3 linked regions of the Cricetulus griseus genome follow. The protein of the gene in region 1 interacts with the protein of each later gene in a pairwise test. Links are inferred from orthologs where the notes say so. Each region holds a gene or a part of one and is shown on either strand. Other genes may lie near its edges.

The links.
Region 2: the proteins of Stx4 (region 1) and Stx6 interact in binary tests that used the Homo sapiens proteins (3 or more experiments, as listed by UniProt). The two-hybrid records come from large-scale screens. The link is inferred for Cricetulus griseus from reciprocal best matches to the Homo sapiens genes STX4 and STX6.
Region 3: the proteins of Stx4 (region 1) and Sec22a interact in binary tests that used the Homo sapiens proteins (3 or more experiments, as listed by UniProt). The two-hybrid records come from large-scale screens. The link is inferred for Cricetulus griseus from reciprocal best matches to the Homo sapiens genes STX4 and SEC22A.

Annotation. Positions count from the first base shown.
Region 1 is NC_048596.1:72,932,198-72,936,959, reverse strand, and holds the start of Stx4 (syntaxin-4), read left to right. Parts: upstream 1-1,489; 5' UTR 1,490-1,620; coding exon 1,621-1,650; intron 1,651-1,811; coding exon 1,812-1,913; intron 1,914-1,969; exon of another isoform or gene 1,970-1,991; coding exon 1,992-2,091; intron 2,092-2,232; coding exon 2,233-2,307; intron 2,308-3,168; coding exon 3,169-3,239; intron 3,240-4,762. UniProt on the Homo sapiens protein: Plasma membrane t-SNARE that mediates docking of transport vesicles. Necessary for the translocation of SLC2A4 from intracellular vesicles to the plasma membrane.
Region 2 is NC_048598.1:36,588,768-36,593,487, reverse strand, and holds the start of Stx6 (syntaxin-6), read left to right. Parts: upstream 1-1,836; 5' UTR 1,837-1,958; coding exon 1,959-1,993; intron 1,994-4,720. UniProt on the Homo sapiens protein: SNARE promoting movement of transport vesicles to target membranes. Targets endosomes to the trans-Golgi network, and may therefore function in retrograde trafficking.
Region 3 is NC_048597.1:54,280,263-54,285,073, reverse strand, and holds the start of Sec22a (vesicle-trafficking protein SEC22a), read right to left. Parts: upstream 3,224-4,811; 5' UTR 3,109-3,223; intron 2,886-3,108; exon of another isoform or gene 2,751-2,885; intron 33-2,750; exon of another isoform or gene 1-32. UniProt on the Homo sapiens protein: May be involved in vesicle transport between the ER and the Golgi complex.

The sequences.
Region 1 (4,762 bases):
AGTTAATAGGCAAAGATACCCTTGCAGAATTCATGTTTTGGTTTGTTTTGGGGGGTTCCCCAGGGGCATGGACAAACTGAAGACTTCCATTTGGGGGCTGACAGCATCATGACACCTTGAAAGTCAGGCCCCACAGTAGGCACTTTTCTCCACATTATTTTCAGGGGACCACACTAGGCAGAGCTGGGCCTCCTGAGAAGCCCACCAACACCGCATCCCTCTGCGGGGTGGTCAGGGCCATATTATCCTCACCCCCTCATTTCCAAATCCAGGAGTTTCTAAAGGGAAAAGCATCACAGCCCCACAAGTGCATGGGGTTTTAGTCTGTTGGCTTCTGATGTGTCACCAGCCCCTAAAACATATCTGCTCTATAGTATGTGCCCAATAAATATGTCCAGAGAGACAAACCTGGGGAAATGGGACGGTGAGAGAAGCCACAGGCTTTAGTTTCAGATACATGAAAGGCTCCTATTCGGATCAAGGCTGTGAGGGCCTATTATGTAGCAAGCTCTGAATTTGGTGCTGGGGACTCCGTAAAAGAAAAGCAAGTCATGCTAGGACTTCAGGGCTGCGGAGGTAACAATACATTCCTCTCAGTCTGAGCTGCTCTGAAATCTGAAGGTGGCGAGCTCAGCGGGACTGCAGTGCTCACACAGGGCGTAGGCCGCCCACCTGTCAGAGGCTGTGCCAGGAGGACGCAGGGTGTGTAGGGGGAAGAGTTCCACCTTGGCTGAGGTCACTTCCCACCCCCAGATTGTCTGCCTACAAAACCCTGCAATCCTCTGACGCTGTAGCCTCCGATCTCATTATGTTCTGACTCTCAAGGTCTCGTGATACTGACAGCCCCCAAATTTAAGTCTTCAGATCGCCCACGCCCTAGGGCCCCAAATTAAAACAGAAAGTGAAGTCTACAAGGGTCTCCTCTGTAGGTGGCTGAGAGCTGTCGGTGTACCCCTCCCCACCTTCTGCAAGGGGTACAGCTCAGACTCAGGGGTATCGGGGACGTCGCGAGACTGAAGTCCGAGACGTCGCTGACAGCGCCGGGACACGTGACCGGCTGTCGGGCGTGCAGCCGGCGGAGCGGGGCCAGGTCTGTCACGTGATGAGGGGGCGCCATGGGGTGATGTGAGATACGAGGCTCTCAGACTGCGTGCAAATGACGCATCCCCAACCCTTTGGGCAACTAGATTCCAGTCCCAATATGAGATGTTCCGGTAGAAAGGGGGGGGGGGCGGACGGGCTCTCGATCCAGGCGGCCTCGCTTCCGTTCGGCCGCGACTGCTTCCGACCTCCGCCTTTTCCCCCTAGCGAGGAAGAGACAAGACCTCGTGCGCATGCTCCGAGTCATCCTCCCGAGGGGCGGGGCTGCGGCTGCGGGAGCAGGATGGGGGGAAGAGAAGGGAATTCCAACCTGTAGAACTTTGGGGGTCCTATGGTCGGGTTCTCCCCGGCGACTGTGCATGGTGAAAGGGGCGGGACCTCTGGGGGCTCGTGGGGGCGTTGGGGGTTCGCAGGGTGAGGAAGGGGGTGTCAAGTGAGAGAGAGCTCGTGCAGGACTTCCAAACTTAGAACCTTGAGGCCCTCGGGGCTCAGGTCCAGGGACCGGGCGCTCGGGCCGCCATGCGCGACAGGACCCATGAGCTGAGGCAGGTGAGGAGCTGGGGCCCGGCGGGCGCGCAGGACTGAGGACTCCTGGTTTGGGGTCCGGGAGGGGTGGCTGACGGCCAGGAAGGAAAATCCCGGAAGCCCATAGCTCCTGCGGGGCGAGAACCGCGGCGAGCGAGTGGTGCCAATGACTCCGGCCCTGGCAGGGGGACAACAGCTCGGACGACGAAGATGAGGCTCGAGTCGCGCTGGTGGTGCACCCAGGTACCGCCCGGCTGGGCAGCCCAGATGACGAGTTCTTCCAGAAGGTAAGGCCCGGAGGACCGAGCAGTAGGGAGGACTACAGTACCACTTATGTCTTCAGTTCCCTTGGTGATCCTCTCTAGGTCCAGGCAATTCGGCAAACTATGGCCAAACTGGAGAGTAAAGTCCGGGAGTTGGAGAAACAGCAGGTCACCATTCTGGCCACGCCCCTTCCCGAGGAGAGTAAGCGAAACCCGGGTTCACGTACGCCAGCCCGGTGGATTATGGGGGATGTAGTCCTATATAGATGTTGGCCGGGGGTGGGGTTGGTTTTGGTTTGTGGTGGAGGCTGTGGTTTGGAAGTGTTGGCCTTCTCTCATTTAGGCATGAAGCAGGGCCTGCAGAACCTGCGCGAGGAGATCAAACAGCTGGGGAGAGAGGTCCGGGCACAGCTAAAAGGTGAATGAACTTCAAGGGCCTCAGCCAGATCATCCCCAGTGATTCAGCCCTGATGCTCGTGTATCTGGGGAGTCAAGTGATATATCAGGTCACAGAGCAGGTCTGGGTCTAGGATCTCTGCCCTGTGGCATCTAAGCCTTGGTACTTTGCATATATTACATGCTGGCCTCTCAGATTCCTTTATTACTATTTTTACATCTAAATTCAAAACTACTTGCTGCTACAGTTCTTGAAGCCCAGTGTGTGTTCTTTGAGCAGATGGATGAGGGTTTCTTAGGAGGCTCCTTCACTCTTGTGGGAACCCACTGATGTAATACAAAGAAAAACTTCTCTTAGAAGATCAGAATTAGCCTCCTCCTCCCCCTCCCTCACCTCTTCCTCCTATGTAGACCAGGCTGGCCTCAAATTCACAGAGATCCATCTTTCCCTGCCTTTTGAATGCTGAGATTAAAGGCCTGCCGTAACCAGGTCCAGTTGGCTGATCTCACCCCCTTCTTCCTTCTTTCTTCTTCCTCCTAGTTCCTTCTTTTTTCCTCCTCCTCCCCCTTCCTCCTCCATCATGTGTCACTACTAAAATATATCCCTGCTCATAAGTCACTTTGTAAAAAAAAATCCTACGAAGACAAGAACTTCCTTATTATGTGGCTGGAATGTAGATGTGGCCCTGTATTCTGGTACCCAAACAATTTTTTTTGATTCATTTAAAATTTTTTATTATGTATTTTCAATTTTTTAATTATTTTTTGAGACTCAGTAGGTAGATCAGGCTAGCCCAGACAGAAATCAGTTAGCCTCCCAGCCAATTTTTAGAAGTCTCAGGGCAAGCTTTTCTTTCCATCAACCCTCGTATTTCTCCCACAGCCATAGAGCCTCAGAAGGAAGAAGCTGATGAGAATTATAACTCAGTCAACACAAGAATGAAAAAAACCCAGGTTGGTTTCATTTTCCTAGAACTAGGACATTTCATCAAGTGTTTCTTAGATTACTAACTGGTGACTGGGCAACCCTTACAGACCGTTGAATCTGGGATCTCTGTCCTGATGAATTTCCTTTATGCTTATTTGGTCTAGGTAGAGGATCCCAGTCACAAAATTCTCAATCCATTATAACACCATGCCACCGCCATTCAAAGAGAATTTGCTATGTCAGACATGACTCTGTCCTGGCTATGAGAGACATATTTTCCCAAAACTGAAATGGGGAATTTGGACTGAAAAGGGAACAAAGATATTTCTCATGTAGGACTTGGTCACTAATAGCTTTGTTCAGGGAAGAAGAGAGAGAAATAAAAAATGGTAATTAAGAGCACTGGTTGCTCTTCCAGAGGCCCCAGATTTAATTTCCAGCACCCACATGGCAGCTCACAACCATCTGTAACTCCAGTTCCAGGGGATCTAACACTCTCACATAGACATACATGTAGGTAAAACACCAATGCACATAAATCAAAGAATAATAATAAGAGCCAAGTGTGAAGGCAGAGGCAGGCGGATCTCTGAGTTCGAGGCCAGCCTGATCTACAGAGAAACCCTGTCTTGAATAACCAAAAATAAATAAATAAATGATAAATAAATGTAAGTTAAAATGACAAGCAAGGACATCCTTGGCCCCATAGATAGAATTTAAGAGATGGCGAGGGGCTGCAAGACGGATCAGTGGGTAAAGGTGTCTGCTTCTAAGCTTTATAACCCAATTCAGCCCCAGGTCCATGGGGTGCAGAGAACTGACTCCTGGGAGTTGTCCTCTGATTTCTACACATGTGCCATGGCACACATGCCCTGCCCCGTGCATACACAGTAAAGACATATATTAACGTATGATGTAGGGACTGGAGAGATGGCTTAGCACACACCACTTTTGCAGAGGAACTGAATTCAGCTGTTCCCAGCTGTGACCTATGTCAGGTGGCTCACAACCATCTGTAACTCCAGCTCTAGGAAGAGGCCCTCCACCTCCTTGGATACCACAGATGAAGGCACATAATAAAATATATTTTTAAGAACATTTGTAGCCGGGCGTTGGTGGCGCACGCCTTTAATCCCAGCACTCGGGAGGCATAGGCAGGCGGATCTCTGTGAGTTCCAGGCCAGCCTGGTCTCCAGAGTGAGTGCCAGGATAGGCTCCAAAGCTACACAGAGAAACCCTGTCTTGAAAAACAAAAACAAACAAACAAACAAAAAGAACATTTGTAAAAGGAAGAAGAGGAATTCTGGTGGAGAAGAAGTCATGCCAGGCAGTGTCTGAGTGAGGAGATTTCACGTGACTTGACTGGGCCCCTCTGGTGCATGGTGAAGAGTGCTTGGGATTTATGGAGGTCAGGTTTGGAGTAGGTAGGCATCTTGAAAGGGCGCAGGAGTGGGGATTCAGGAGAATAAGCTTATTTAAGGAATCAGGAGAGGGATGGGGGATAATGCACCATAAGAGTGGACCTGTGGTAGCTGTGGTATGAGAACAT
Region 2 (4,720 bases), on another chromosome or scaffold:
GGTTACCTGTGCCCTCTCTCATTATCTGTAACTGAATGCTCCTCCCCACAAGCCTGAGAGCTCCTGGAAGGCTAGGGTATTCATCTCTGAACCCTCCTTGAACAGAGAAAAAGCTCAGGTGTGCTAGGCTTTGTCCCAAAGCCTTTCACAGATCCACTCAGGCCTTGAGATAATGTAGGAGAAAGACGTTATTATGGTGTCCATTCACAGTAAGGACAGTGAACAGTTAGGAACTTTGCTCAAACACAGCTGCTGAGAGTAGCAGAGCTGAGGTTTTAAACTCAAGGATCAGGCTCCAAGTATCACTTGCAATCCCTGGGCTCATCTGCCCTTCCACTTACCTGTCATTGTCACATGAGCATTTTAATCTACCTATCTCAGTATGCAGGTATCCAAAGCCAGCAACTCTCCCAGAAGCCCCTCTTCTCTACATCTGCTGTCCAGTGCTCCTTCAGTTCAGTGAAGCTTGGAGTCTTAGACATTCTCTTCTCTCTTCTCTCCTCATCCCTTCTCCCATTATGGCACTATGTTTTGTATTCCATGGGCAACATCTATCTGAGTCACTCCTTTCCCTTCATTCTCTCTTGCTGTCATCTGGTCCACAGCCTCCTCCAGGTGTCTCTGGCTGTACCTCCTCTTTTTTGGGGACCTCAGAGTTTACATACCTACACAAGAGCTAGATATTGTTTACATCCTCCCTTCCCTCCAGCCAGGGTTTCTTTGTGTAGCCTTGGCTGTCCTAGAACTAGCTCTGAGTACGAGGCTGGCCTCGAACTCATAGAGATCCGAGTGGTGGGATTAAAGGTATGTTCTACTACTGCCTGGTTTGTTTACATCTTAAAGATGAGGAGTTGATTGAGGGACTACAGGTTCAAAAGAGATTTGTTTGATGCAAGCGCCAAAGAGACTAGAGACTTTGGGCAAATCACTTAACCTCACAGAATCTCAGAAAGCTCATTCATAAAATACAGATACTAAGTAGCAGTAATTACCTTACTGAAGATAGTGAAGTAACTTAGAACCCTGCCCAACGCACGTAAGTGATTGGTGGTTATCAGCAATGAAAGGTCACACTACTTAACCATGAAAGATCTGTACAGTGCGTCGAATATTCCAGTTTACTAACTGTGCCAGATAAAATGTTTTCTGGATGTTTTGGAATCATAGTCGAGAGGAAGTTACCCTGCCTGGTTACTTTGACCTTCAACTCTCTGCTGCGAAGTTCATTTTCAGAATGTAATTCAAAAGAAAATACTGTCCATTTTGGGGAAAGTGTCCAGGATCTGGGGTTCTGTGATGTCTGGGTCGTGAGACCCTCCCTGTACAACAGAGACTGAAGCCTCTCACAAAAAACAGTAGGATCGTCCCCCAAAGAGTATGGAGTATTGAGCCTGTAGACACTACATGACTTAAGACTTTATCATAATCAGGTTATTTGAGAATCCTATGGTGCAAGTCGTGGATGTGATGGGCACGGAAGTCATATGGCGTTAAAAGCAAGTCTTAAAAGTTGAGGAAAGGTAAGAGGTCTAAGCAGACAGATTCAGCAACTACTAAAATCCCCTGTAGGCTTCTCCCAGCGGAGGCAGAAGACCTCTCCTACCTCCCAGAGCCCGCCTCTCGGGCCCAGGGACGCTAGCCCAAGCCCCGCCCCTCTTAGGCCAGGAGCCTGAGCGATCTGGGTCACGTGAGCGTGAGTGCGGAAGTGGAGCTGCGATACGCATTCTTGATTGGTCGCAGAGAATGTCTTGGGGGCGGGGCCAGGCGCCGGAGGTGCCGGGGGAGGAGGCTGCTGTGGGGGCCGGCTTGGAGTGGGATTCGGCCCACGGCGCTGACCGAGTGCTGGACCGGCGGCCGTCGGGCACCCAGGTCTGCGCGCACCGCTGCTCCGGGTCACTCGGCCGAGGCGCTGGCCGCGGGAGACCTCAGGGAGGGCTCGGGCTGCCGGGCCGGGCGCCATGTCCATGGAGGACCCCTTCTTTGTGGTGAAAGGGTGAGTGTGGGCCGAGGACGCTCGCCGCAGGGGGAAGGGAGGGAAATCGAGGCAGGGCGGCACAGCCTCTGCGCCCCGACACCGCGCGTCCTCCGGGGCTGGGCCCCCGGGGGTCCTCCTTTCGGCCCGCACGGCCACTTCCTCGGGGTCGCGCGCCGCAGGTGGGGAGCGGGGAGCGACGCGCTGGAGAGGGCGGACAGCATCTGGGCAGGAAAAGGGAAATGGCCCTCCTGGAGTGGGCGTGCGCGGGGGCGAGCTCCATTGTGGAGTCGGGAGCTCGCCCGGGACAGCCACCCCGCGGCTTGCCCGGAGGCGTCCAGCCGGTGCGGGAGCCGGGTGCGGGAGGACGCGCGGTTTCCCGGGGGAGGAAAAGTCCTCCAGGCCGGGTACTGATGTTGGTAGGAAAACAAGATGCAAACAGCCAAACCAAACTTCCCGAGGTTTTCTGAGAGCCATCGGGATTTTCCCACCGTGTGGAAGGAAATGATTGTTTCTTTTGAACTCCTTGGTTTCGTCCTGGGTGTTTGACAGGTTTCTCTCACTAAACGTTCTGCCTTTTAGAAGTCATCGGCCCTCTTTTTGCCAGGGAGCTGTCCTGACTCCATCTTTGATGCTCTGTTGGGAGATGGAAACATCAGGGGCACTTCGATGTATCAACTTTGTAGCCATTACACAAAACGCAATTACGATGTCGCAACTTATTTCTAATAACATGTCAGCTTTATGCTTTGAATGTCAGAGAAATGTCAAAAATCTGAGAACTGCAAAGTCAAGACAGGATAAGTTCTACTGACTGTGAAGCATTCCTTGTTTCTCACTAGTTGCTACTTTCATCTTATTTGTGGAGTGGTAAAAGCTGACCAGTTGTGTGGGTGTTTGTTTTTATACTTAAGGGTACTGGGAATATTTAAATGGTATTTTAGAGGAGGTACTTTATTATCTATGGTGTATTCAATCAAATAATTACGACTGTTTCTTAACATTTCAGTTAAAGGGTTTTTCTTTCACTGGCTTTAATTTAGATGGGAGAATAGGAAGGTATAGATTTAACAGTAAAATTTACCTATACAGAAAATAAGTTATTTATTAGGGAATTGATTTAGGATTTTGTTTTTAAATTTAGAGTTGTATACTTTTCCCTTGAATGGAAGGCTTTTTTGTTTTGTTTTTAATTTACACACACTCTCTCTCTCTCTCTCTCTCTCTCTCTCTCTCTCTCTCTCTCTCTGTGTGTGTGTGTGTGTGTGTGTGTGTGTGTGTGTGTGTGTGAATGTGAATGCTGTGGCACACATGTGGAAGCCACAGGGCAAGCTTGCAGGAATCCCTTCTCACCTCCCACTATGTGGGTCTCAGGGACCAAAGTCAAGTCTTCAGGCTTGGTGGCAGGCACCTTAGCCCGCTGAGACATCTCATCAGCCCCAGAACTGAAGTTTTTAACACTCAAGTTGTAAAAGTTATCTCTGGCAGTTAGTTGATGTCAGAGAAAAACCAGAAAATGTTTATTTGTTTGCCTTTGAGTGTGATTTTTGACAACTCTTCATTGTTCAGTCATGTAGATATCCCCCCTCCCCCATAGTCTCCCAGCACTCCCTTATTGACTAGATAGTACTACTTTATTAGAACACTGCCATAGGTCTTTAAGGTGCCTGAAGTAAGAGTAGTTGTCTGTACTTTATCCAAGAGGAAAGTGAAGTCAGCCACATAGGTGTTTCCAGATGTGTGATAGCATGTTCATGCATGTTTATTTGTTAACAGTTTTGAGGGCCAGTGAGATATCTTGGTAATAGGGGCACATGCAGCCAAGCCTGATGACCTGAGTTTGATCCCCACAAATCCTGCTTGTTGTCCTCTGACCTCCACATGCAGGAATTTACACACACACAATGGAAAAGTTTAAAAAATAAGATTATTGAAAATATCACAAATAGAAAAAGTAAAGATGTCTCAACTATGACTTTTTTTTCCCATTGGGCTTTTGGATTTACCAGACAGGGTTTCTCTGTGTAACAGTTCTAGATGTCCTGGAACTTGTTTTGTAAACCAGGCTGGCCTCAGACTCACAGCGATCCTCCTGCTTCTGCCCCCTGAGTGCTGGGACTAAAGGTGAATGCTACCACCACCTGACCAATGTCTTTGTTAATAGATTCAAAATATTACTACTGCCAGAGGTGTTTTTTTTTTTTTTTCTTTCCTTTTTTTTTTTTTTTTTTTTGGAGATAGGGTCTTGTTATGTAGAACTTGCTTGCCTCTTACTTGCAGTGTAGCCCAGGCTAGCCTTAAACTCAGCAGTTACTGCTTAGGCTTCTAAGTGCTGAGATTGTAGGCATGAACTTAGCTTCAACATGCAGTTAAAGATTGTTTGTATTAAGTCTTCAAAATTTGTTATTTTAAACTTCTGTCTCATTTCAATTTGGCTGTTAAAATTTGAACATATGTCCTATATTTAGAATTCTTTAAACTTACAGTTCAAAAGATATATTCAGAGTCTGGGGTGATAGGGAACACTTGTAATCCCAACACTTGTGTCTCTGGAAAGCCAGAGACACAAAAGCTAACCTCATAATGAGTTTAAGATTAGCCTGGGCTATATGAGATACTGTCTGGAAGAAAAAAGAAAAGAAGGAAGAAATTCACATATCCTAATTGCTCCAAACATACATACCACTTTTTTGGCAAGAAGATTTTGTGCCAGTTTTTAAGATAATTAAATGCAAGTTTCTCAATGAC
Region 3 (4,811 bases), on another chromosome or scaffold:
TGATCTTGGGCTCAAAGTGTCAAGGGATATTTCTAAAAAGGTAGTGAAATTTAAATAGAAAAGTTTTCTACAGATGTTTTATGCTGGGGTCACTCATCTTTTATTTGAGTTAATCACATTCCAAGCTTTAGCACTCAAGTACCACTTTCAGGATGCTTATCTGGATCTCTCCTGTACTATTTCTTATTTACCAAATACCAGTCTCTCAACTGGCTATCCTATATTTTTAACAACAATGTCTACAAAATCAGTTTGAGACATTAGGGTTTTTTTTCCCTAAATCTAAGTTAAAATAAGTAAAATTTTGTTTTGTTTACATGCATATTAAATATTTTGGTGGCTTGCTTTTTTAAAATGATCCTCAGCTCACCAAATCATTTTACATTAATGATAGCACCAAAATTTGGAAAAACTAACTTGCTACATATTTAGTTAACTTAATAATCCTGAACTCTGTGAGAATTATAAGTGAGTGCAAAGGGTGGAGTCAGACTGATTGAACTTAGTTGACCATATTAATTGCAATGCTCAGACTGGAAGATTGAATGAAAAGAAAGGAGTACCAAGGACTATCAGAATTTATTGTGATGTTTTGCCAGTACTGTCTTCCTCATTAGCTGTCCTTACTGCTTGCTTCTATTGTGGGCACCTGCACTAAACACTATGTGTAAAACCTCAAGCTCCACAACAGAATATACACACTATTAGAGACAGGGGTCCTAACATATGTGCAGATGTCAGTGCCATACAGTTCAGAGAGGTAAGTATAACTTCCATTTCATAGATAAGAAAACTGACATTTGCTCAACTTCACCTCTAATATACGGCAGGACTGATACTTAAGCCTAAGTGCCTCACAAATCTCCATCGCTGTGCTGTAACCAGGAAAGCAGCAAGCAGCAAAAAAAAAAAAAAAAAAAAAAAAAAAAAAAAAAAAAAAAAGAAAGAAAGAAAAAAAAAGTCCTATGTTTTAAATGTTTTTCAATTTAGACAAAGCTTCACAAAGCCCCAGCCTGGTTTGAACTCACTATGTAGCCAAAGGCTTGCCTTGAACTCCTGATCCTCCTGTCTCCACCTCCCAAGTGCTAGGATTACAGGCTTGCATCATAAGACCTGGATCAGCTGATCATTTTAAAATAACAATAAATAGGGACATTTTCTTTGAAAGGCAACACAGTATGGTGATTAAAAAGTCAAGTTCAGGCTGGGGAGATTCCTCAGTGGCAAAACATGATTACTATGCAATCATGAGGACTAGTGTCCAGATCCTTAGAACTAAGTGAAGACTAGGCAAGCTAGGTTATCCAAAAGAGGTGGGATCTTCCAGGCAGGTCAGCTAGCTGGACTGACTGAAATTGGCAAGCTCCAGGTTAAAACAACAACAACAACAACAACAAAACAAACAAACAAAAAACATCCTGCCTCAATTAAGTAGAGGGCAATCAGAGAAGACACTGGACATCAACACCCAACCTTCATATACACCTGCACACAACATTGTGCCAACACACATTTGAATATACATACAGGCATACACATGCACACACAGGATGTGCAAAATAAATAAATTAAATACAAAGAAGTCATATTCCCAGATTTAAAGCCAGGCTCTACCACATACCTGTCACATTACCTTGACAAGCTTTGCTTTCCAAACCTCAATATCTTCACCTCGGAACTATGGCTATGAGTAAACCCTATCTCCATGAGGCTCTTTTTAAGATCACTACCAGCCTCTACGTCTTACGCTTATGAAAAGCACCTGGCACAACCTCCGAAGTTCTATTTTAAGTGTTCTGCTGTCCTTACTACTGACAGGTACAGACCAAGCACTTCATTCGCCTCATTTGAGCCTTCCAGGAACCTCTGAGGTTAGGTATTAGTTTCATTTTGCTTTGGAGGAAACACAAGTCCCAAAAGCTTAAGGCATTTGTTCAACTCACGGATGAGTAAGTAGGAGGTCTGATTCTAACAACTTCATGAAACATTACCTCTAAACACACCCTAACTTCTTATCGACACGGAAAGAAAGGTCACAAGTATCTCTCTGACACGAGTTTGTTTTTTTTTTTTCATACATCAACCTAAAACATACTTAAACTTTAAGCAGTCTCTAAAAATAAAGTTACTAAACTGGCATGATCGTCTTAAGTGGGAAAAGCCTGACGTCTCAATCACTTTGGACATGGTCACGGGTGTCAGGTTCAGTTCTGAATCTTCCTCTACACACGGTAAGTTCTAAGTAATGTTTAAGATACCGCCTAACTGCTCACAGCGCTGGCACACCAGTGGGTACCAGTAACCCGAAATTGATTCCATTTTTTAAAATGTTTGCTCTGTTCATCCGCTGGAATTCTATCACGTGTAGCACGGCCCACCGACACTGGACTCTGCTCAAAATTAAGCACAGCAGGGGCTGGTTCTGAAGAGTTCTACCTGCTCCAGGTGATGCTGATCCCGGAAGCTAAGCAGCAGGCAATCAAGTCCTAAGCTGCTTTTACTGAGAGAGATTCGCGCAAGCTACAGCTTGGCCCCCTCCGGAGATCCCCCACTTGTGGAGCCAATAACTCAGGTCTTTTTTTTTCTGCCACACAGTGTCGCAAAGTACCATCAGACAGGGCCTCGAGGGGTTTCCCTGAGCCAACGTGGGCGATCTCCAACCTCAGCGCCCATTCGGACTCCACAAATCGCAGGGTACGCCACTGGTACAAGCTGCCCCGCCCCAAAAAAGAACTAGGAATGCCAGCCACCTCAAGCTCTCTCGGGCCACCTACAAGCCCGGGTGAATCCGTGTGCTTCTGACATCTATGGCAGTGAGTCCGCTCGCTGGCAGCCCGGGGCGCCAGCACTCCCCGTCAGCCGCCCCGACTGCGTCCGCCCATCCCGGGACAGGCCTGCCAGACAGCAACCGCCGCCCGCGCGGCTGACAGCCCCGGGTCTCAGGGACCCGGGACCCGCACACCAGCCCTCTAACTCCGCCGCCACCGCCGCTCAGCTCCGGCTCGGGAAGTACCGGTCAGGCCAGGGTGGAACGCCGAGAGCGGCGCGAGCGGCCGGCCAGGGATCCCGGAGACCCCGAGGAGGCTGAAAAGAGGGGCCGGGCCGTACCTGTCGCGCTGGGACTCGCCGCTCCGAGTGACGCGCCACGCAGTGCATTGTGGGGCCGGGAGGGGCCTCCCAGCGGGGTTGCCCGTGTCCAACGTGGCTGGTGAGGGCGGAGTTCACTCGGGCCAATCAGGTTCCGTGGGAAGCACCCAATGGCACGCCCCCTTCCGAGGCCCGCCCTATCTCCGCCCCCTCCAGCGGAGATTGGCAGGTTCTTATGCACCTGCACCAGGAGAATGCCTAGTCTCCTGAGGACAAAATTAGGCTGTCCCTGGGAAATAAGGCTAGTCTCCTTCACCTGCTGCTTCGTGTCTGGAAGCAGTTTCTCTCATGCGCCACTTGGGACAGAGGAAAAGCTCTCTCTGATGAACAGGATAAGGACCTTTCCCCGTCAGCCACTACACAAACTTTCCAAGACAGACAAATGACACATGCTGGCCCCAGTAGCCCCACCCCTACTCCCGCCCAGCCTTCTAGAGGTCATGTATTATTAAACAAACGTATACTGAATGCCTATCAAGTGTCAAGCAGCATGTTAAGCATGTTATACAGGAATGTTCACAGCACTCCTTTTAAGGTGTAATCGGAGCAAGAGGCACTAGAAAAACTGGTACAGAAATATACTATGTGATTGGTACAGAGAAGAAAACTTAATAGGTGTACTGATGAATTAATTGAGTGTCAGGAAAGAACTCCCTGAATAAGTGCCTTTAAAGTCAAGACATATTAAGGGATCTTTAAGAATGTTCTGGGTCTGCTTCTATTTCCACCAACTGCTGGATGAAGGCTATATGCTGGCATATGAATTAGTCATCAATCTCATTATCAGGAGAGGGCATTTAAGGTAGCCTCCCCTCTGTTGCTTAGATTGTTAGCTGGTGTCATCTTTGTAGCCCTCCAGACATTTCCCTAGTGCCTGATTTCTCTTTGAATTTATAATATCTCCTTCTATTATATTATCTCTTATCTTGTTCTCTTCTGTTCTTCCCACAGCTAAACCTTGGACTGAACTGATCCAGAAGCAGAGAAGAAGGACTGATGAGCAAAGGGGTCCATACCAGGCTGGTGAAACCCACAGAAACAACTGGCCTGAACAAGGGAAAACTCTTGGTCCCCAGACTGATAGCTGGGAAACCAGCATGGGACTGATCCAGACCCCCTGAACGTGGGTGTCAGTGAGGAGACCTTGGGACCTCTTGTAGTGGATCAGTACTTATGGCTACCATAGGAATGAACTTTAGGAGCCCATCCCACATGGGGGGATACTCCCTGATCCTAGACACAAGGGGGTTGGCCTAGGCCCTATCCCAAAGAATATGACAGACTTTGAAGACCCCTATGGAAGGCCTCACCCTCCCTGGTGAGCAGAAAGGCTATGGGATAGGTAGGGCATTAGTGGGGGGGGGAGGGGAGGAGGGGAGAGAGAGGGAACTGGGATTGACATGTAAAATAATTTTTTTCTAATAAAAAAAGGAAAAAAGAAAAATAATATAAAAAAAAAGAATGTTCTGGGTCCAGGAACATGATTTGTGAAAATTTGGATTGTCCTAGGAAGGTGGGCTGGTTTGTCTGTCAGCTTGATACAAAGCTTAACATTGATGGGAGAGGGAATCTTAATTTAGAAAATGCCTCTGAAAAAAAAAAAAAAAGCCTGGGGGCAAGTCTGTGGGATGGTACTGTGATTGGTGATTGCTATAGGAGGGCCC